4 linked regions of the Saccharomyces cerevisiae S288C genome follow. The gene in region 3 interacts genetically with the main gene of each other region. Each region holds a gene or a part of one and is shown on either strand. Other genes may lie near its edges. The genes, in order: OLA1, YBP1, ALG9 and POL4.

Evidence for each region.
Region 1: mutations in ALG9 (region 3) and OLA1 together harm fitness more than expected from each alone (negative genetic interaction), as found in Saccharomyces cerevisiae (2 studies listed by BioGRID).
Region 2: mutations in ALG9 (region 3) and YBP1 together harm fitness more than expected from each alone (negative genetic interaction), as found in Saccharomyces cerevisiae (2 studies listed by BioGRID).
Region 4: mutations in ALG9 (region 3) and POL4 together harm fitness more than expected from each alone (negative genetic interaction), as found in Saccharomyces cerevisiae (2 studies listed by BioGRID).

Annotation. Positions count from the first base shown.
Region 1 is NC_001134.8:289,680-294,516, reverse strand, and holds OLA1 (Obg-like ATPase), read left to right. Parts: upstream 1-2,651; coding exon 2,652-3,836; downstream 3,837-4,837. Other genes in the region: putative protein kinase YPK3, read left to right, coding at 1-92; YBR027C (uncharacterized protein), read left to right, coding at 161-493; ETR1 (enoyl-[acyl-carrier-protein] reductase), read left to right, coding at 498-1,640; putative thioredoxin peroxidase SCO2, read right to left, coding at 4,167-4,837. UniProt on the Saccharomyces cerevisiae protein: Hydrolyzes ATP, and can also hydrolyze GTP with lower efficiency. Has lower affinity for GTP.
Region 2 is NC_001134.8:655,076-660,715, forward strand, and holds YBP1 (Ybp1p), read right to left. Parts: upstream 2,526-5,640; coding exon 501-2,525; downstream 1-500. Other genes in the region: HPC2 (Hpc2p), read left to right, coding at 1-242; ATG12 (Atg12p), read left to right, coding at 2,757-3,317; PYC2 (pyruvate carboxylase 2), read right to left, coding at 3,632-5,640. UniProt on the Saccharomyces cerevisiae protein: Involved in oxidative stress response and redox homeostasis. Required for hydrogen peroxide-induced oxidation and nuclear localization (activation) of YAP1. Functions probably in concert with HYP1/GPX3, the actual YAP1 modifying enzyme.
Region 3 is NC_001146.8:235,496-240,794, forward strand, and holds ALG9 (dolichyl-P-Man:Man(6)GlcNAc(2)-PP-dolichol alpha-1,2-mannosyltransferase), read right to left. Parts: upstream 2,169-5,299; coding exon 501-2,168; downstream 1-500. Other genes in the region: ADE12 (adenylosuccinate synthase), read left to right, coding at 1-219; ssDNA-dependent ATPase MGS1, read left to right, coding at 2,743-4,506; PPN2 (putative serine/threonine-protein phosphatase), read left to right, coding at 4,836-5,299. UniProt on the Saccharomyces cerevisiae protein: Mannosyltransferase that operates in the biosynthetic pathway of dolichol-linked oligosaccharides, the glycan precursors employed in protein asparagine (N)-glycosylation.
Region 4 is NC_001135.5:137,746-143,358, reverse strand, and holds POL4 (DNA-directed DNA polymerase IV), read left to right. Parts: upstream 1-2,425; coding exon 2,426-4,174; downstream 4,175-5,613. Other genes in the region: CTO1 (Cto1p), read left to right, coding at 1,189-2,142; PGK1 (phosphoglycerate kinase), read right to left, coding at 4,363-5,613. UniProt on the Saccharomyces cerevisiae protein: Repair polymerase. Involved in gap-filling in DNA nonhomologous end joining (NHEJ) required for double-strand break repair. Seems to conduct DNA synthesis in a stepwise distributive fashion rather than in a processive fashion as for other DNA polymerases.

The sequences.
Region 1 (4,837 bases), on a different chromosome or scaffold from region 3:
CGATTAATATCAATTCGGTGAGCAAGTCCCCGGATATGTTCAAGGGATTTAGTTATAAAGCAAGTGGTAGCTATTTGGAGAAGTACTTTTGAATTAAAAGTTAGATAGATTAAGAGAGAAGGCTCGGATCTGCACTGACTTACTTTTTTTTGTTTTTTTGATGTTTAAAGGATCTGTGTCACTGTATATACTTTGTTTTGCTTTAGGGTTACGAAACACATTTTTAATATATAATGTATGTAATAATATTAAAAACAACTGTATGGATAATACTTCTGGACCAATCGGTGATACCATCTTCCTTATTTATGGTATTATTATCATTATTGGACCCCGCCGGTGCTTTTTTTTTTACCTTAAAAGAGTGGTTCTCCTCCAAGGGACGCACGAGTGGTGTACCCAGGGGTTGTTTCCATGGCTAAAGAAATTGGAGATTACAAACGTACATTGTCATTTAAGAAGGTTCATAATCTGCCAATTACATTTGATATAACAAGATGCTTCCCACATTCAAACGTTACATGTCGTCCTCAGCTCATCAGATTCCCAAGCACTTCAAATCGCTCATCTATTCAACTCATGAAGTTGAGGATTGTACCAAGGTTTTGTCAGTGAAAAATTATACGCCTAAACAAGACTTATCTCAATCAATTGTGTTAAAAACTTTGGCCTTTCCCATAAACCCTTCGGATATCAATCAGTTGCAAGGAGTATACCCGTCTCGTCCAGAAAAGACATACGATTACTCCACAGATGAGCCAGCCGCTATCGCCGGTAATGAGGGTGTCTTTGAAGTTGTTTCTTTACCTTCGGGAAGTTCCAAGGGAGATTTGAAATTGGGTGACCGAGTTATCCCATTGCAGGCAAATCAAGGGACTTGGTCCAATTATAGAGTTTTCTCTAGTAGTTCTGATTTAATCAAGGTAAATGATTTGGATCTGTTTTCTGCGGCAACTGTATCTGTTAATGGTTGTACCGGTTTCCAATTAGTATCAGACTATATCGACTGGAACAGTAACGGTAATGAATGGATTATCCAAAATGCCGGTACATCTAGTGTATCAAAAATAGTTACGCAAGTAGCAAAAGCTAAAGGGATCAAAACATTAAGTGTTATACGTGACCGTGATAATTTTGATGAGGTAGCAAAAGTTTTGGAGGATAAGTATGGTGCTACGAAGGTTATTTCCGAATCGCAAAACAACGACAAGACTTTTGCCAAAGAAGTATTGTCCAAGATTTTGGGTGAAAATGCAAGGGTGAGGCTTGCCTTGAATTCTGTTGGAGGTAAATCCAGTGCATCAATAGCACGTAAGTTGGAAAATAATGCTTTGATGCTCACTTATGGAGGAATGTCAAAACAACCTGTAACTTTACCAACATCTCTACACATTTTCAAAGGCTTGACATCCAAAGGGTACTGGGTGACTGAAAAGAACAAAAAAAACCCCCAAAGCAAGATTGACACCATCAGTGATTTTATCAAAATGTATAATTATGGTCACATTATTTCACCAAGAGATGAAATTGAAACTCTTACCTGGAATACTAACACTACTACTGACGAACAGTTACTAGAACTAGTCAAAAAAGGTATAACTGGGAAGGGGAAGAAAAAAATGGTTGTTTTAGAATGGTAAGGGCCTTAGCATTGCTCAGAGTTAGACAACCACCAAAGATAGTATTCCTCTTTATGACATCGAGTATAGTTGCTATATAATATATACCAAGACATTAAAAAATATATGCCAGTGCTATCTTTGTAGGAGCTAATAAAAGGGGACGTCGACCCTTCAATGTATATATCGATCCTTTCACATTAGTCAGGACGAGATAATGAGCATGATGTATAAACAAACGGTAGTTAATACCAACGATAAGTTATACAACTACTGTACAATAAAAAAACATCACAATAGCAATACAGGAGTCCTATTCGCTACTTCAACTTGACAAGATCTACTAGATATAGAAATATCTAGCTTAATCAACAATTTTCCTCACTGATTGCTTCCTCCGAATGCCATTATTGGCTTTCTTGGTTCTTAAGCATGATATTACGTATAAATAGCCATTATATCAATTAGAACAAAAGATTACGTAAATGCAATTTTTCCTGAGAATGGCGTTCGAAGAAGGGCGCGTAACTCGTAGAAACCTAAGAATTCTCGTAGAGCGAAGTCTTCGGTAGGAAACGTAGTAGATTTGCAGAAGATACGCCTGTTAAACTGAAGAAAACAAATCTGAGTAGTTTCCCTTCTTTGGAGTTGAGCTTTACAACAAGTTCATATTGTTGGTGCCAATTTGCCTTGAGACAACTAAGGCAGAATGCAGTTGTTGCGTGTTACTTAATTCTCCGTATTGAATGACCACGCACAATTCCTAATTTTTTTTTTTTCTCGAAAATTCTTTTTTTTTTCACTGAAAAAATTTTTTCAAGGGCCATCCCAGCGATTTTATGACCCAAAAGGAAGGATGCAGTGAAAGTCAACTTACGTCTTCTCTCTCATACCTTTCGTTGCGAGAAATCGTATTTAGTAGTGTATTCAGTTGATAATTAGTACTAATTTTTTATTGCATTTTGCCTTTTTTAGCTTTTTGTGTTACTTCTAGTATCCGTAAAAACAATCAAATAAATAGCACTGTAAAACATGCCTCCAAAGAAGCAAGTCGAAGAAAAAAAGGTCTTATTGGGTCGTCCAGGTAATAACTTGAAAGCCGGTATTGTCGGTTTGGCCAATGTTGGTAAGTCTACCTTTTTCCAAGCCATCACTAGATGTCCATTGGGTAACCCAGCTAACTATCCATTCGCTACCATTGATCCAGAAGAAGCCCGTGTTATTGTCCCATCTCCAAGATTTGATAAGTTGTGTGAAATCTACAAGAAGACAGCTTCGGAAGTTCCAGCTCATTTGACCGTTTACGATATTGCTGGTTTGACTAAGGGTGCCTCTGCTGGTGAAGGTTTGGGTAATGCTTTCTTGTCTCACATCAGATCAGTCGATTCTATCTACCAAGTCGTTCGTTGTTTCGATGATGCTGAAATTATCCACGTTGAGGGTGACGTTGATCCAGTTCGTGATTTAGAAATTATTAACCAAGAACTAAGATTGAAAGATATTGAATTCGCACAAAAGGCTTTGGAAGGTGCTGAAAAGATTGCCAAAAGAGGTGGTCAATCTTTGGAAGTCAAACAAAAGAAGGAAGAAATGGATTTGATTACGAAAATCATTAAATTGCTAGAGAGTGGTCAAAGAGTTGCTAATCACTCCTGGACTTCAAAAGAAGTTGAAATTATCAACTCCATGTTCTTGTTGACTGCTAAGCCATGTATCTATTTGATTAATTTATCTGAAAGAGATTACATCAGAAAGAAAAACAAGCATCTGCTAAGAATCAAGGAATGGGTAGACAAGTACTCTCCAGGTGACTTGATCATTCCATTCAGTGTTTCTCTAGAAGAAAGACTATCTCATATGTCCCCAGAAGATGCTGAAGAAGAATTGAAGAAACTGCAGACAATATCTGCCTTGCCAAAGATTATCACTACCATGAGACAAAAGTTAGATTTGATTTCCTTTTTCACCTGCGGTCCAGATGAAGTTCGTGAATGGACCATCAGAAGAGGTACTAAAGCTCCACAAGCTGCTGGTGTTATTCATAACGATTTAATGAATACCTTTATTTTGGCTCAAGTTATGAAATGTGAAGATGTCTTCGAATATAAGGACGATTCTGCCATCAAGGCCGCTGGTAAGTTGATGCAAAAGGGTAAAGACTATGTCGTTGAAGACGGTGATATCATTTACTTCAGAGCTGGTGCTGGTAAGAATTGATTTCGTGCACTAAAGTTGACTTTTCTTTATTTGGTTTAGTTCCCTACTATATATCATCATAGAAATTTTCAACATGATTTTCTTGAAAGAGAAACGAAAGGAAAAAAGCAATCTCGCGAGTGGATGGCATCGGATTTTATGTATGTGTGTATGTATGTTTATTATTCCCGCATGTTTACGCCCTTAAGCCCAATTAATAATTTGAACTGACAAGCATAATCATTTGACTTTCATTTTTTTTACTATTTTTTTCTATTTACAATGTAACTGTTAAATTGAACGACCCATAAGTTCGGTATCCTAGCTGTGTCTTTTTCTTTTTTTTTTTGCTCAATTGAAGATAAAAGAGTACCATTTTTTTGACCTACGCTCCCGTTCTTCCTTTGGCACATACGCCTGAATTTGTTCACGAATCTTTTCGAGACCAGATTGCTCATCGTAGTTTCTTCCCAACGCATCGATAAACTGTCCTTCAGGGTCGATCAAATAGAAAAATATCGAATGGTCCACTAAGTAATCCTGGTTGGGCTTGACATCACGTGGAGTTGAAAAATATACCTTGTATTTTTTGCATACGCTTTTCACTTGGTCGTACGTACCGGTTAAACCAATGATAGCTGGGTGAAAATCGCTTAAGTACTCTTTCAAGACATCCGGTGTATCTCTTGCAGGATCACATGAGATAAACAATGGCTGTATCTTTATATGGTCTTTATCATCTAATTCAGAAATCCAATACGTTAATCTGTCAAGCTCTTCTGGACAAATGTCGGGGCAATGACTGAATCCAAAGTATAAAATGGAAAACTTACCCTTCAAATTCTCCTCAGTGAAAGGCTTACCATTAAAATCTGTTAAATTGAAAGGACCGCCAAGTGCTACTGAACCGTAAGCTCTGTTAGCATCTGCTTCCTTTTCAGTTTCTAGCAAGCGTCTTTTTCTTGATAAATAGGCATACGTCCCACCACTTAGCAACAATAGAGCAATGGTGGCCTTCCATC
Region 2 (5,640 bases), on a different chromosome or scaffold from region 3:
CTGTAACTACCACCATCTCTCCGAAGAAGAAGTCGCATCCTATGAAAGGTAAAAATTTGATTGGTAAATATGACGTTGAAGATCCGTTCATTGATGATTCGGAGTTATTGTGGGAGGAACAGCGTGCTGCCACCAAGGACGGTTTTTTTGTTTACTTTGGTCCATTAATCGAAAAAGGTCACTATGCAAGTTTGGAGCGTGCAAATGGTACCATGAAAAGAGGTGGTGTTAAAAATAAATAAGCATTGTGTCAGAGATTTTCCAAAATCCCTGAACGACATAAAAAATGAAATAAAGTGTGCCTATATCTGAAAGTATATAGTCAGTTTATATGAAGATTTTTCCGAGCGAATGCTTTTCTATCCATGTATCTATGTCCGATAATATGGTGAAAGAAAAAATAGATAATTTCACCTTAGAGAATCTATAAACTTGGCTATAAAACCAGAAACGAGTATGGCATGTTCAATATCTTGGTGGAAATGAAATAGATAAGAACTTCATTTTATACCAGTAAAATAGTCATTTAGAGATTCGTTTTTATCCACAATTTCCTTATACTTCGGAAGTTTATCAGGTTCGACTGACTTCAAATTAGAATCAATCTTCGAACAAACAATCTTCAGTAGATCTTCATCCCATGTTTTTTTTAGCACAATGAAAATATTCAAGTAAGTTAGCAGTAATAATATATCACTCTTCTTGGCATCTGCCGTAAATGAATCTTGGATAGTCTGCAGACAACAGTCATGAACAGCTTTCATTTTGGAAGAATCTAGTTGGATATAATGTCTGATGTTACTTTGCTGAGCTTTGTTACTATCATTGACCTTCAGTTTGGATAATTTTTCGACAATCAAATCCGTCTCAGAATCGTTATCCTTGGTGGAGATGCGTCGCCTTGAAAGGTCTTTAAAAACACATAATACGGACGTCTTAGCCAATGGAAGGGGAGATGTCTTAAGCACATCTAAGATAAACTCAAATGCAACTTTTTCAGGTATTAAACATAGTAATCTGGTGAGAAGAGTGAAAGTTATCATTCTTAACTGCTGATTGACCTGAATACAGTTCTTTTGAAGTAGAACATGCAATAATGTTTTTGTAACAAACACTGAAAGATTCTTCAATTCTTTTTTTACATCCTCCAAGGGCTCGGTTGTAATAGCATACCATAGCCAGTAGCGACTAACTGATTCAACTGCTACATTATAGTAAACTTTAGAATATAATGATGGAGTTGTAAATCTCAAGTAGAGATAAATGGCATCCGTTATATTCATTTCCTTTACTAAATGTTGATTGGTTTCCAAATAGTGGATACCAGAAAATAATATTACACCATTATAGTCCAAACCAACATTTTTTTCTTTAGCGGCCTTTTGTACTTCGAATGTATAAGCCAATTTATATACCATTCTTTCCAAAACCAACTTTGCTTCATCATTAACAGCGGAAATCTCCTGGGGTACAGACTTATAAATAATCCTACATTCTTTTATCACATTCTGAAATTCTCCCTCTATATCAACATCAAGCGAGAACGCCATTTGGTAATACCTGCAAAATAGCTCAAGATATTCGGTGTAATATGCAGATAATTCAAACTTCTGTTGATTTAGTGCACAATAGTATTTCACGTCGGCATTGGTGGTGACAGTTTTTATGGGTGTCGAAATACCAAAAGTACAAAGCCTACGCAATAGTCTAACCTGTAATTCACTTTCTTCCTCCACAACTTTATCAAACATCTCTCGAGTAAAATCTTCGTTCAATTGTATATCTTTTGGTGGATCAGGGGGAATATAGTTCCTGCAGAATGTGTACACCCTACGAAGAAGGAAAAGGGCATCTTCAAAAGTGTCCGCATGACTATACACAAATTTCTCAATTGTTGACACAGCAGCTCCCAGATATTTCGAAGGAAACAGAGTAGAAATCCTTTTCAGACTCGCCCCTATGAATTCAAATAAAATGTAGGATTTCAACTTCAAGAAAAATTCATTTGAACTCTTGCTTTCACCGTAGGATGGAAAATCTTTTCGATTAGAGGAATTTTCGATTACTCCTTCAGGAGGTAACGTATTGGCCTTTTTATCAACAAAGTCTTCCTTATTCTGTTGATCACTCTTGGAAAAATCTTTTGAACAAAGGGATGAAAGCAACTCCAACCCAGTAATTAAACATTTTTTGGGCTCGCCTTGGATTGAGATGGCATAGAAACACTTCATTACACCTTGGACAATCATATTCGTACCTAGTCTTCCATTTACATCGACATTATCCTTTGACAAGAACTTCAATAATCCCTTAGGCAGATCCCAACCGATTTCACCAGTAGTACTCGGATTATCCTCTAACAATGTATTCAAAGTTTCAATGAATCTCGTCTTTTCTTCATAGCTCCCCTCTTGGTTAACTTGCTCGCCATATATATCAATCAATGTTACCAACTCAAGAAGATCCTCCTTCTGAGTTTTGAACGCATCAGTAACCTCAAAAAGTATGTCATCAATTGGTTCCATTAGTGTCTGAGTATCGTATTGAATGTCTAGGGTGATTTTCTTTTTCAGTGTTTATTTGTTAATAATGTTCACCGGCAATTAGTCTTTATTTTTTTCCTTTACATTGTCAAATTTAAAGAATCGTACTTATGAAGGATGCCCGCTTAGTGTTTGACAGAAAGCTACTTGAGCTGAAGAAATAAACGTACATCCCTAACTGTATATTCTACAGTAGAGTGAACCAATGACAGTATGAGTAGGATCCTAGAGAGCGAAAATGAAACAGAAAGTGACGAAAGCTCCATCATATCCACAAATAATGGAACGGCAATGGAAAGATCCAGAAATAATCAAGAATTAAGATCATCTCCTCATACCGTTCAAAATAGATTGGAACTTTTTAGCAGGAGATTGTCTCAGCTTGGTTTGGCGAGTGACATTTCTGTCGACCAGCAAGTTGAAGATTCCTCTAGTGGCACTTATGAACAGGAAGAGACAATCAAAACGAATGCACAAACAAGCAAACAAAAAAGCCATAAAGACGAAAAAAACATACAAAAGATACAGATAAAATTTCAGCCCATTGGTTCTATTGGGCAGTTAAAACCATCTGTTTGTAAAATATCAATGTCACAGTCTTTTGCAATGGTTATTTTATTTCTTAAGAGACGGCTGAAAATGGACCATGTTTATTGTTATATAAATAATTCGTTTGCGCCAAGTCCGCAGCAAAATATTGGTGAACTTTGGATGCAATTCAAGACTAATGATGAGCTTATTGTAAGTTATTGTGCATCCGTAGCGTTTGGTTAAATACCCGGGCGCTGGAATGGTCTAAGAAGAAAACCTACAGTCGATCAAAAATCCCGTACGATATTAAATAGAGTAGTTAACGTACTTGAGCGTTATAAACTCACATTTTCACTCAAGAAGAAAATGGAGAATGGAGACATGGTAAGTGAAAGCATTAAGGAAGAAACACAGTTAGCACGTATTTCATCGAAAGTGTTTGATTACTTTCTATTTGGCATTTAAATATACATGGGAACATAACTAGATAAAATATACGCCATATATAGTACAGCTAGTATTTTCAGATGTCATAAAATATAATTAACGAGTAAAAATTACTTTTTTTGGGATGGGGGTAGGGTTTCTTCTTCTAGGACAACCAACAAATCTGATGCGTCAACACTTTCACCATCCTTAATGAAAACGTCTTTAACTTGACCATCTGCTGGTGAAGAGACAACCATTTCCATTTTCATGGCACTCAAAACAGCAATCGATTCGCCCTTTTTCACCAAAGACCCTTTATGTACTTTAACTTCTATGATAACACCAGCCATTGGTGCACCGATTTGGTGAGTATCGTGGACATCAGCCTTTGGTTTAGCAACAGATTGTATGTTTTGTGACTTGTCTGCAACTCTGATCTTTCTTAATTCACCGTTCAATTCAAAATACACTTCTCTTTGCCCAGTTTTCTTATTTAAGTCACCAACAGCTTGCAATTTGATAATCAAAGTCTTACCTTGTTCGATGGTGACTTCGATTTCTTCATCAGGTTCTGCTGGTGCTAGGAAATTTTTGGTTGGTAGAACTGATAAATCACCGTATGTTTCTCTGATCTTTTGGAAATCTTCATAGACCCTTGGATACATATTGTAAGAAGCAACATCGCATTCATCAATATCACCGAATCTGTTCTGCAAGTCTTCTCTAATTTTTTCGAGATCAAATGGTTCTAATTCTAAACCTGGACGGCACGTCAACTTTCTTCTCTTGTTTCTCAATACATCAGATCTTAATGGTTCTGGGAACCCACCGTATGGTTGACCAATTAAACCTTCAAAAAAGTCCATAACAGAGTCAGGAAAGTCCAAAGAATTAGCTAAACGTCTAATATCGTCGGAAGTCAGTTTGTTAGAAACCATGAATTGAGCTAAATCACCGACAACCTTAGAAGTTGGGGTAACTTTAACAATATCTCCCAGTAGGTAATTGGCTTCTCTGTAAGCTCTTTTAGTTTCAGCCCATTGTTCACCAAGACCCAGTTGTTGAGCTTGGAATAACAAGTTAGTCAATTGACCACCTGGGATTTCATGTTGGTAAACTTCTGGATCTGGTCCCTTCAAGTCGGCCTCGAAACAAGAATACAACAGTCTCATTTCGGCCCAGTATGCATCTAATTCACGAACATGCTCAACGTTAATCCCAGTATCAATGTTACCTTCTAATGAAGCCAACAGTGCATTAATTGATGGTTGGGAAGTTAAGCCCGACATTGAATTGATAGCTACATCGACAACATCAGCACCTGCTAGGGCACATGCAGTCATAGACGCAACAGCAGTACCTGCGGAGTCATGACTGTGAACATGAATTGGTAAATCCGGATATCTGGTTCTTAGGGAGCCAATTAATAATTTGGCAGCGGCCGGTTTCATAGTACCTGCCATATCCTTAATACCCAAGATATGTGTACCCATTTGAACTATTTTTTCAACAACTTCTAGGTAGTAGTCTAAGTTGTATTTCTTACCTGGCTGAAGCATGTCACCAGAGTAACAAACAGTAGCTTCGACAACACCACCGGCCTTCTTGACAGCATTCACACCAACTTTTAATTGTTCTAAATCATTCAAGGCATCAAAAACTCTAAATATATCAACACCATTATCCTTGGCTTGCTTGACAAAATGGTCAATAGCATTGTCAGGTAATGAAGAGTAAGCCACACCGTTGGCACCACGTAATAACATTTGGAATGGAATATTAGGCACCAGAGATCTTAATTTTCTCAGACGTTCCCATGGATCCTCATGCAAGAATCTCATTGCAACGTCGAATGTAGCACCACCCCAACATTCTAAAGCGAAAGCACCTGCAAGGGCATGTGCGGTTGTTGGAGCGATTGTAGCCAAATCGTGGGTTCTGACTCTTGTTGCAAGTAGAGATTGATGAGCGTCTCTCCAGGTGGTGTCCATCAGTAGAGTACCATTGAACTGTCTGACTTGCTTGGCAAATTCAGATGGTCCCTTTTCCAGTAGCACTTGTCTCCATCCGGATGGTGGTGCAGACTTTGTAACGTTGATGACATTGCCCTGAGCATCGTGCAAATGGGGGACACTTG
Region 3 (5,299 bases):
TTGTTCCCTGAAGACTTGAATATTCTTGGTAAAGTTGAAGTTGAATACAAAGTTTTGCCAGGTTGGGATCAAGATATTACCAAAATTACAAAGTATGAAGATTTGCCGGAAAACGCAAAGAAGTACTTAAAATATATTGAAGATTTTGTTGGCGTTCCTGTTGAATGGGTTGGTACCGGCCCCGCAAGAGAAAGCATGTTGCATAAAGAAATTAAATAGGGCGTTGGACATCCATGACAAACTTCAATTTAATTTCTTTTCACAGTTTTATAGTTTTATATATACGAAATGTAACTAATCATGACATTTTTTAAAAGTTTTCAATGAAAAAATGAAAGAGTAATGAACAAACATATTTTTTTTATAAAATGCATAAAAACATATAGATATATATATATTTACGTGGAAAAATGTTAAAACTATTGATAAGAAAAAACGCTCAAAACAAGTAGTAAGCAGGCTTTTTTTTTTTTTGCTGCTTGTTTTAGAGAACCTGTATATCAATTAGTAGTCTCAGTTGGTTTTTCAAACAAACAGTAATCAATGTAACGAACACCGTACACTTGATTCCATTGTTTTGGTAAAACTATTTGCATGATTCGGTTGATTGGCTCCGGTACGTAAAATGCTCTACCCAAAATCTTAGAATTTTCACCGTCGATGAATGCAGCACATGCCAGCTTATTCCAGTTATCCATCAGATGTAGAGGGTTGAAAACGTCTTTTGTTAAATTTATTGGGGCGACGATGTCAATAAAATAATCACATCTAGTGATCGGCCACTCTTTACCGGTATCATATATATTCTTGTTATTCATTCCCTTAGGTAAAGTTCTAATCTTTTTGAAAATAGAACCACTCTCTGGAAAATCACCTGGAAGAAGACCATCAAATCCAGATTTAACAAATTTTAGCCTATGATTATCTGGCAGCAGGAAAGAACTTGGGAAGTGATACCATTCACGTCCCGTACATACATTCACTACCGGTGCCTTCACACCACCTTGATTTAGTGAAGAAAATTGCTCGTAGACGGCTATAGGAGCTGTGTAATTGTTCACCAAAGCCACTATCCGTGACATTGCCTGGCCTGCAACAATTAATAAAACTGACAACTTTATACCTTTTTTAAGAATCGGCTTTCTATTGAATAGATTCAACACTTTGTAAAAGGCGATACTTGCACTCAAAGTTATTAACCCGTAAATTGGATAGAGAAATCTTTCCTCTTTGTGAGGTTGTTGAGTGAAAACGGCAATCCATGTGAATAATGATGCCCATAATGGCCATAATCTCAAATGGAAAATTCCCAAAATAGCTAAAACTAGCACAGGCAGTGGGAAATTCAGTAACAAATTTAGTGGATAGTAGTACCATGGCTCAACCCCGAAAATATTTGGGCCAGATTCCTCACTTGCATTAATGACATTGTAAAATAAGATGTTCCATGATACAGGAGCAAGCTTCCCGTAAAATATACTGTCAGTGACAATCACAGCAAATGCAGTCAATGAAAATATCAAACAGCAGTCGAATGCGGTTCTGATGGTAGAAATAATTCTATGGTTGAAAAGGTAATGTAAACATAATGGCAAGCTTAAAATTAAAACAAATGGCCAGCCTAGTATACTAGCCAGGAAATTGTACGCTAAACTTTTCGTAAAGTTAGAAGTAGACCCAGTGGACAGATAGCGTAGAGAGTGTCTGGTGGCACCTACATACAACAACATGGCAACGGCAGAAGGCAATAATTCCACAGATGCATGGAACCAGCCCGGATTAAACAATTGGAAAATAATCCAAATATTTGCGATTTGCAATGCCAAGCTGCCTGCAATTTCACGATGTAGTTTAAATTCCATGATAAAACTAAAAAAGCCTAAGCATGCTCTTGTGATGAAAAAGTTCCAATGACTTTCTAGGTCAGTAAATTTGTTTACTGGATAAAGAATACAGTAAAAAGGTAATAAGAAAGCCCATGATCTAATAGAATACTCGGGTGAATATTCCCAGGTTTGTTTACCAAATCCACGTACCAATAAATTTAATGGTTCCCAATAATTAAAAGTTTCATCGCAATCTGAAATTAACGAGAATGTCGGCTGAATATATACTCTTGTTAAAAATAACAACAGTAATAAACTAATGGTTACCGCCTTGCAATTCATCGTTCCCTTATAATTGTGCTTCAGGGTGAAAAAAGAGCCAATTCGATACAGCTAAAGTTTTGAAATCTCGTTGAGTAGCCGTAATGGTACAATAAAAACGAAAAAGTATTCTCTATTGTGTCAAAAACACCCCTGTATATCCAGTTGTCCCTTTTTCAAGCTTGTATTGACAGTTCTGAATATCGCAGAACGGTTCTCATCAAAATTCAATATTGCGTAACGGACTTATTGTTGCATTTTCAAGTAAATAAGCCGGGTCAGGATGCCCGCCGTAGATAGTAAAAAGTAGGTATAACATGCGCAAGAGCAAAACGGATTTGACAACATATCCAAGTGATAAGTGGTCGTTTAGATACATCATATACTATAACGGTTTGATATTGAGAGCCCAGTTAAAATTAACATCTGTTTTTTGTTTTTTAATTGACATTCAATCATCGGTTGCTTTCCTTGTGAAACTGTACGCGTTGTCTTAAACGAAACGTGTTTTAAGGTAGGTCATCGACAGGTAAAAAATAGCTTATTAGCAGAAGAACGCTAGCGGTAAGATCTGAAACAGGATCGCACAGTCTCAATGAGTAACAAGAGGACATCTGTAGAACAGCTCATATCATGCCCAATTTGCTCTAGAAAAGTCTTTTTTTCCTTAATCAACTCTCATCTTGACATATGTGGCAAGGAAAAGTCAAAGCCTTCGAGTAGGCCACAAACGGTGTCAAGTCTTTTGGCAGGCCCAAAAAAGAGGAAACAAGCTAACTCAGAGAAATTCATTGATCTTGAAAATAAGGACCATGAAATTAAGCCAGGTCTTAAGAGCGAGAGTGATGATATTGAGATTGTTGAAAATGAAAGCAAAAGATTTAAGGCAGCACCATCCACGGATTTTGCGAAATCAATAGTGGAGCCTGCTTCGAGCAGAGATCAACTTCACAACGATTACGAAAGCAGATGGTTGCAGAAAATAAGCCATTTGCCACTTAGTGAAAAATTGAGGCCAAAAGAATTAAGAGATTATGTAGGTCAGCAGCACATTCTCTCTCAAGATAATGGTACATTGTTCAAATACATAAAACAAGGGACTATACCATCTATGATACTCTGGGGCCCTCCAGGTGTAGGAAAGACTTCACTAGCTAGACTATTAACGAAAACTGCGACAACCAGTAGTAATGAATCAAATGTTGGTTCCAGGTACTTCATGATCGAAACAAGTGCGACAAAGGCAAATACGCAAGAATTGAGAGGTATATTTGAAAAATCAAAAAAGGAATATCAATTGACCAAAAGAAGAACTGTACTTTTTATTGATGAAATTCACAGATTCAATAAAGTTCAACAGGATTTGTTATTGCCACACGTAGAAAACGGTGACATTATTTTGATTGGTGCAACGACAGAAAATCCAAGTTTTCAGCTGAACAATGCTCTCATTAGCAGATGTCTGATTTTTGTCCTAGAAAAGCTGAATGTCAACGAACTGTGTATTGTTTTATCAAGAGGAATTGCATTATTGAATAAATGCAGGAAACAAGTATGGAATATTGAAAATCCTTTGAAATTGTCTAGAAGCATACTGGAGTACGTGGTAGATCTGTCGGTGGGTGATACAAGGAGGGCGTTAAATATGTTGGAAATGATCGAAGTTTCAACAAGAGAGCGCAAGGCCGACGAGGAAGAATTATCTATCGATGATGTACGAGACATAATTAAGAACAACAGCAGCAACGGGTTGAATACATACTATGACCCAAAGGGAGATAACCATTATGATACAATCTCTGCGTTTCATAAATCCATTAGAGGTGGGGACGAAAACGCCTCACTGTACTATTTAGCAAGAATGTTGCAGGGAGGAGAGGACCCATTGTATGTTGCCCGAAGAATGATTCGAATAGCTTCTGAAGATATCGGATTACGGGATAGTTCATTATTGCCCTTGGCTGTCGCGGCACATGACGCAGTAATGAAAGTTGGTTTGCCAGAGGCAGACCTTGCACTGGCGCAATGTTGTGTTGCTTTGGCTAGGGCACCAAAGTCAGTAGAACTATATAGAGCTTGGAAGAAATTAAGGGCAATGATGAGCGAGAACATGTACAGTTTAGCAAGCAGTGAGATACCGATGCATATCAGAAATGCGCCAACCAAATTGATGGAGGAGCTGGGTTATCATAAAGGCTACAAGTACAATCCCGATTATATTGAAGGAAAAGTCCAACAAGACTACTTTCCCAAAGAAGTGCTCGAGAAATGTCCAAATAAAACTGACTTAAAGTTCCTGGACGGCAAACATTTAGGAGACAAAGAAGATCCTGACTTGAGACAGTCATATCAGGGTTAGTCAAGGGTCTTCCATACTTCTCTCAATGCCGCGTCTACAATTCATATTTTTTTCTCTGTTGGCCAATGCCGCTTGTTTTTTTACGCTTGAGGCGCATTGCATTGCTGGCACGTTTTTGTGCAGCATGAACGATATAAACTATAATTTTAGATAATCAAGGATCCACCTTTTTTTTTCATGCTAGAAAAGTCTCGCGGGCCCATCTGAGATATATTAGAACATATACGCATCCTATAAGAAGAGCACATTATTCTTGAATTAGTTCTTCCTTTTCCTCGACCTTCCAGCTTGTAAAATGAGCCAGGCTTGAGGAGCATAGATACGCAAAAATGGAAGATAAGCGGAAAAGACGAGCCGCTACACTTAGTACAGCATTGATATTATTTGTGGCATGCTGCGTTTATACACTATATATATTCAAGTTTGATAACCCTCGGTTGTCTCCACCAGTTTCCTTATTGCCTACAATTAGCACCTTGAAGAAAATTGAGCATGTAACAGATTTAAATAAGGAGTACGTTTTTGTTGGTGACGTTCATGGTAACTATGATGAGTTCATAGAACTCATTGATGACAAGATTGGAGGACTAGGAGAAAATATAACAATGATATTGCTGGGTGACTTTATTCACAAGGGCCCGGACTCAGACAAGGTCGTGTCGTATATTCTAAATCACAAGGATCAAGTCAAGTGCGTTTTGGGCAATCATGAAATATTGGTCATGATGGCCTATTTAAACCCAGACTTCTCGAAATGGGTAAGACGCCCCAAATTAATGACACCTTTAACTTT
Region 4 (5,613 bases), on a different chromosome or scaffold from region 3:
ACACTTTGCTATTTTCCATGAGAACGGTTGGTATTCCTGTTCCCAATAACAAAAGCGTTTGCATATTTTTATGGTGAAGGTACTATCAACTGTAAAGTATGTACAATAGATTTATTAAAGGGAAACACTTTTCGTAGTAAGAAAAGCAGGTTTATAATTCAATTGTTTTAAAGCTGAATAATGCCGTGGTGTTAAACTACGACCGAGCTATAGCAACAGCATCGGCCACACACTCTCTCTTATTCTTATGTTAATAGTCGACCTTTCAAGGATGTTCTTGTTGGAATAGAAATCCACTATCGTCTATCAACTAATAGTTATATTATCAATATATTATCATATACGGTGTTAAGATGATGACATAAGTTATGAGAAGCTGTCATCGAAGTTAGAGGAAGCTGAAGTGCAAGGATTGATAATGTAATAGGATAATGAAACATATAAAATAGAAGAAGGGATAATCGTAATATTAGTATGTAGAAATATGGATTCCATTTTGAGGATTCCTCTATCCTTGAAGAGAACTCCTAGTATATTCCGTATACATAATATTGTTGCTTTTCTCGAATCATGTATCAAGATTACTAGCGCAAGTGGTTTAGTGGTAAAATCCAACGTTGCCATCGTTGGGCCCCCGGTTCGATTCCGGGCTTGCGCATCTTTTTTACTTTATATACTATTTTTTTTTTTTTTCTTTTTCCCAAATTTTTTCATGAAAAATTTGGCGGAACGGTACATAAGAATAGAAGAGATTCGTTATGAAAATTTTCTACTCTCTTTCACATTTTTTTTTTCATAAGAATTAAAAAAATAAGCTTAATGCCCTCTTTGTACGATGGTGTCACTCTAAAATTATTTACGTAATTTAATTGGATGTGATATCAAGCACTAGTTTTGTTTGGAGGAGCAGAGATTGAAAGCCTAGCTTTTACACCGGTTTGAGTCGGTTCCTTCGTTTTCTTAGTTGGAATTGATATAGAAGTGTGTGGACAATCGATTTGCAAAACTTTTTATTTTATGTATTACTACTGAGCTTGTTTATCTGTATACTTTTTTCTTATTATTATGTAGTTAGAGGTTAGTTCTTATCGTTTTCTTTAAAAGCGACCTTTCTTCGCACAAAGCAATGTTGACAATCGAGCCAATGCATTTAACAATTGCAGTAACCAGAAGCGAACAGTGGAGGATATGAAAACCATTATTATTTCAGATTTTGATGAAACAATCACAAGAGTTGACACAATCTGCACCATTGCTAAATTACCGTATCTACTGAACCCGCGGTTGAAACCTGAGTGGGGTCATTTTACCAAGACATATATGGACGGATACCATAAATACAAATACAATGGAACGAGATCACTGCCGTTGTTATCTTCAGGCGTACCTACGATAATTTCGCAGTCTAACTTCAATAAGTTGTTTGCGGACGAATTAAAATATCAAAATCATAACAGGGTTGTTGAGTTAAATAGTGTAAATGAAATTACAAAACAACAGATTTTTAAGTCGATTTCTTTGGATCAAATGAAAACGTTCGCCAGAGATCAGAATCACGAAGATTGTTTACTAAGAGATGGTTTCAAAACGTTTTGCTCTTCAGTTGTCAAAAATTTTGAAAGTGATTTTTACGTTTTATCTATAAATTGGTCAAAAGAGTTTATTCATGAAGTCATTGGTGACAGAAGACTTAAAAATAGTCATATTTTTTGTAACGATCTAAAAAAAGTTAGTGACAAGTGTTCTCAAAGCTACAATGGTGAATTTGATTGTCGGTTATTGACAGGCTCTGATAAGGTCAAGATACTGGGTGAAATATTAGATAAGATCGACTCAGGTTGCAATAAAGAAGGAAATTCTTGCAGCTATTGGTATATAGGGGATAGTGAGACTGACTTGTTGTCCATATTACATCCATCTACTAATGGTGTACTGCTAATAAACCCGCAAGAAAATCCTTCCAAATTCATAAAAATTACCGAAAAGATTATTGGTATCCCAAAGGATAAAATCTCGAGTTTTGAAGCTGATAATGGTCCAGCGTGGTTACAGTTTTGTGAAAAGGAAGGCGGTAAAGGTGCCTACCTTGTGAAATCCTGGGACTCTTTAAAAGATTTGATCATGCAGGTAACAAAAATGTAGAAACGGATGAAATCCTGTATATTCAAATTTATATAACCAGGACGTTGCAGTGCTAATAATAATGGAATACCGCTAATTTTCCTCCTGTTTTTTCTTTTTTAAGTAAAGATAAAATAGTATTTCACTTGCACTATTCTTCTATCTCCGTAATCGGTCTCGGTCTAAAATTACTTTGAGATGTTCAAATACATGGGGCTAATAATTTTAAGGGCTTGCAAAGAACTTATATGTCACAGTGATAATAAGTAAAGGATAAACATGCGACCTGTTAGACAAATCGCACATGTCTCTAAAGGGTAAATTTTTCGCCTTTTTACCTAATCCTAACACATCTTCCAATAAGTTCTTTAAGAGTATATTGGAGAAAAAGGGCGCCACAATTGTGTCAAGTATTCAAAATTGTCTTCAATCTAGCCGTAAGGAAGTGGTCATTTTGATTGAGGACTCCTTTGTTGATTCTGATATGCATTTGACTCAGAAAGATATTTTCCAAAGGGAAGCAGGCTTAAATGATGTCGATGAATTTCTTGGTAAGATTGAACAGTCAGGCATTCAATGTGTGAAAACCAGTTGCATCACAAAGTGGGTCCAGAATGATAAATTTGCGTTTCAAAAAGATGATTTGATTAAATTTCAACCATCCATTATCGTTATATCAGATAACGCTGATGACGGACAAAGTTCTACTGATAAAGAGAGTGAGATTTCAACTGACGTAGAAAGTGAAAGGAATGATGACAGCAACAATAAAGATATGATACAAGCTTCAAAACCTCTTAAGCGACTCTTACAGGGGGATAAAGGAAGAGCTTCCCTTGTTACTGACAAAACGAAGTACAAAAACAATGAATTGATTATCGGAGCGTTGAAAAGGTTAACAAAAAAATATGAGATCGAAGGTGAGAAATTTCGTGCAAGAAGTTATAGACTGGCTAAACAGTCGATGGAAAATTGCGATTTCAATGTTCGTTCCGGTGAAGAAGCACATACTAAATTAAGGAATATCGGGCCTAGTATTGCCAAAAAAATACAAGTTATATTAGATACGGGAGTTTTACCAGGTTTAAATGATTCAGTGGGATTAGAAGACAAGTTGAAATACTTCAAAAATTGTTACGGCATTGGGTCGGAAATTGCTAAACGCTGGAATCTTCTAAATTTTGAAAGCTTTTGTGTTGCAGCTAAGAAGGACCCAGAGGAGTTTGTATCAGATTGGACAATTTTATTTGGTTGGTCATATTACGACGATTGGTTATGCAAGATGTCTCGGAATGAATGTTTCACACATTTAAAGAAGGTTCAAAAAGCGCTGCGTGGCATTGATCCTGAATGCCAAGTCGAATTACAGGGAAGTTATAATAGGGGCTATTCCAAGTGTGGTGACATTGATCTTTTATTTTTCAAGCCGTTTTGTAATGACACGACCGAGTTGGCAAAAATCATGGAAACGCTTTGTATTAAGTTGTACAAGGATGGCTATATCCATTGTTTTTTACAGCTAACGCCAAACTTGGAAAAGCTATTCTTAAAAAGAATAGTGGAGAGATTTCGTACAGCGAAGATTGTTGGGTATGGAGAAAGAAAGAGGTGGTATTCTTCTGAGATAATCAAGAAATTTTTCATGGGAGTCAAATTGTCTCCAAGAGAATTAGAAGAACTGAAAGAAATGAAAAATGATGAAGGCACATTGTTAATTGAAGAAGAAGAAGAAGAAGAAACAAAATTAAAACCGATTGACCAATATATGTCTCTGAATGCCAAGGATGGAAATTATTGCAGAAGATTAGACTTTTTTTGTTGCAAGTGGGATGAGCTTGGAGCAGGAAGAATACACTATACTGGATCTAAAGAGTACAATAGATGGATAAGAATATTGGCAGCGCAAAAAGGCTTCAAGCTTACACAACACGGTTTATTTCGAAATAATATCCTTCTCGAAAGCTTTAACGAACGCAGAATTTTCGAGTTATTAAACTTAAAATACGCTGAACCCGAACATAGAAATATCGAATGGGAAAAAAAAACTGCATAAAGGCATTAAAAGAGGAGCGAATTTTTTTTTAATAAAAATCTTAATAATCATTAAAAGATAAATAATAGTCTATATATACGTATATAAATAAAAAATATTCAAAAAATAAAATAAACTATTATTTTAGCGTAAAGGATGGGGAAAGAGAAAAGAAAAAAATTGATCTATCGATTTCAATTCAATTCAATTTATTTCTTTTCGGATAAGAAAGCAACACCTGGCAATTCCTTACCTTCCAATAATTCCAAAGAAGCACCACCACCAGTAGAGACATGGGAGATCTTGTCAGTGACACCGTACTTCTTAGCGACAGTGGCAGTGTCACCACCACCAATGATGACGGTGTTACCAGCAGCAGAGCTCTTGACAACTTCGTCTAACAAAGCCTTAGTACCAGCAGCGAACTTTTCGAATTCGAAAACACCTGGTGGACCGTTCCAGACAATGGTCTTAGCCTTTGCAACAGTAGCAGCAAACAACTTTCTAGATTCTGGACCATTGTCCAACCCTTGCCAGCCAGCTGGAATACCTTCCTTGTCAGTGACAGTCTTGGTGTTGGCATCAGCAGAGAAAGCATCAGCAATGATGAAGTCGACTGGCAAGACGACTTCGACACCCTTGGCCTTGGCCTTTTCCATCAACTTTGGAACGATTTCAGCACCAGCCTTGTCGAAGATGGAGTCACCGATTTCAGTGTTTTCCAAAACCTTCTTGAAGGTGAAAGCCATACCACCACCAATGATGATAGAGTCGACCTTGTCCAACAAGTTGTCAATCAATTGAATCTTGTCAGCAACCTTGGCACCACCTAAGATGGCCAAGAATGGTCTGGTTGGGTTCTCCAAAGCCTTACCGAAGTACTTCAATTCCTTTTCCAACAAGAAACCGGCAGCACGTTGTGGCAAGTCGAAACCGACCATAGAAGAGTGAGCTCTGTGAGCGGTACCGAAGGCATCGTTGATGTAAACATCAGCCAAAGAGCTCAATTCGTGTCTGAACTTTTGAACATCTTCCTTGGAAGCCTTGACCTTTTGACCATCGACCTTTCTGGAACCTTCTTCTTCGATGTGGTAACGCAAGTTTTCCAACAAAATAACGGAACCTGGGGCAGAAGCCTTGACAGCGGCTTCAACTTCTGGACCGACACAGTCGTTCAAGAAGGTGACATCCTTACCCAACAATGATTGCAATTCCTTAGCAACTGGAGCCAAAGAGTATTTTTCGTTTCTTTCACCGTTTGGTCTACCCAAGTGAGAAGCCAAGACAACGTATCTTGGGTGGTGTTCCAAAACGTACTTGATGGTTGGCAAAGCAGCAACAATTCTTTGGTTAGAAGTGATCTTCTTACCGTCCAATGGGACGTTGAAGTCAACTCTGATGAAGACACGCTTGTCCTTCAAGTCCAAATCTTGGACAGACAACTTTGAAGATAAAGACAT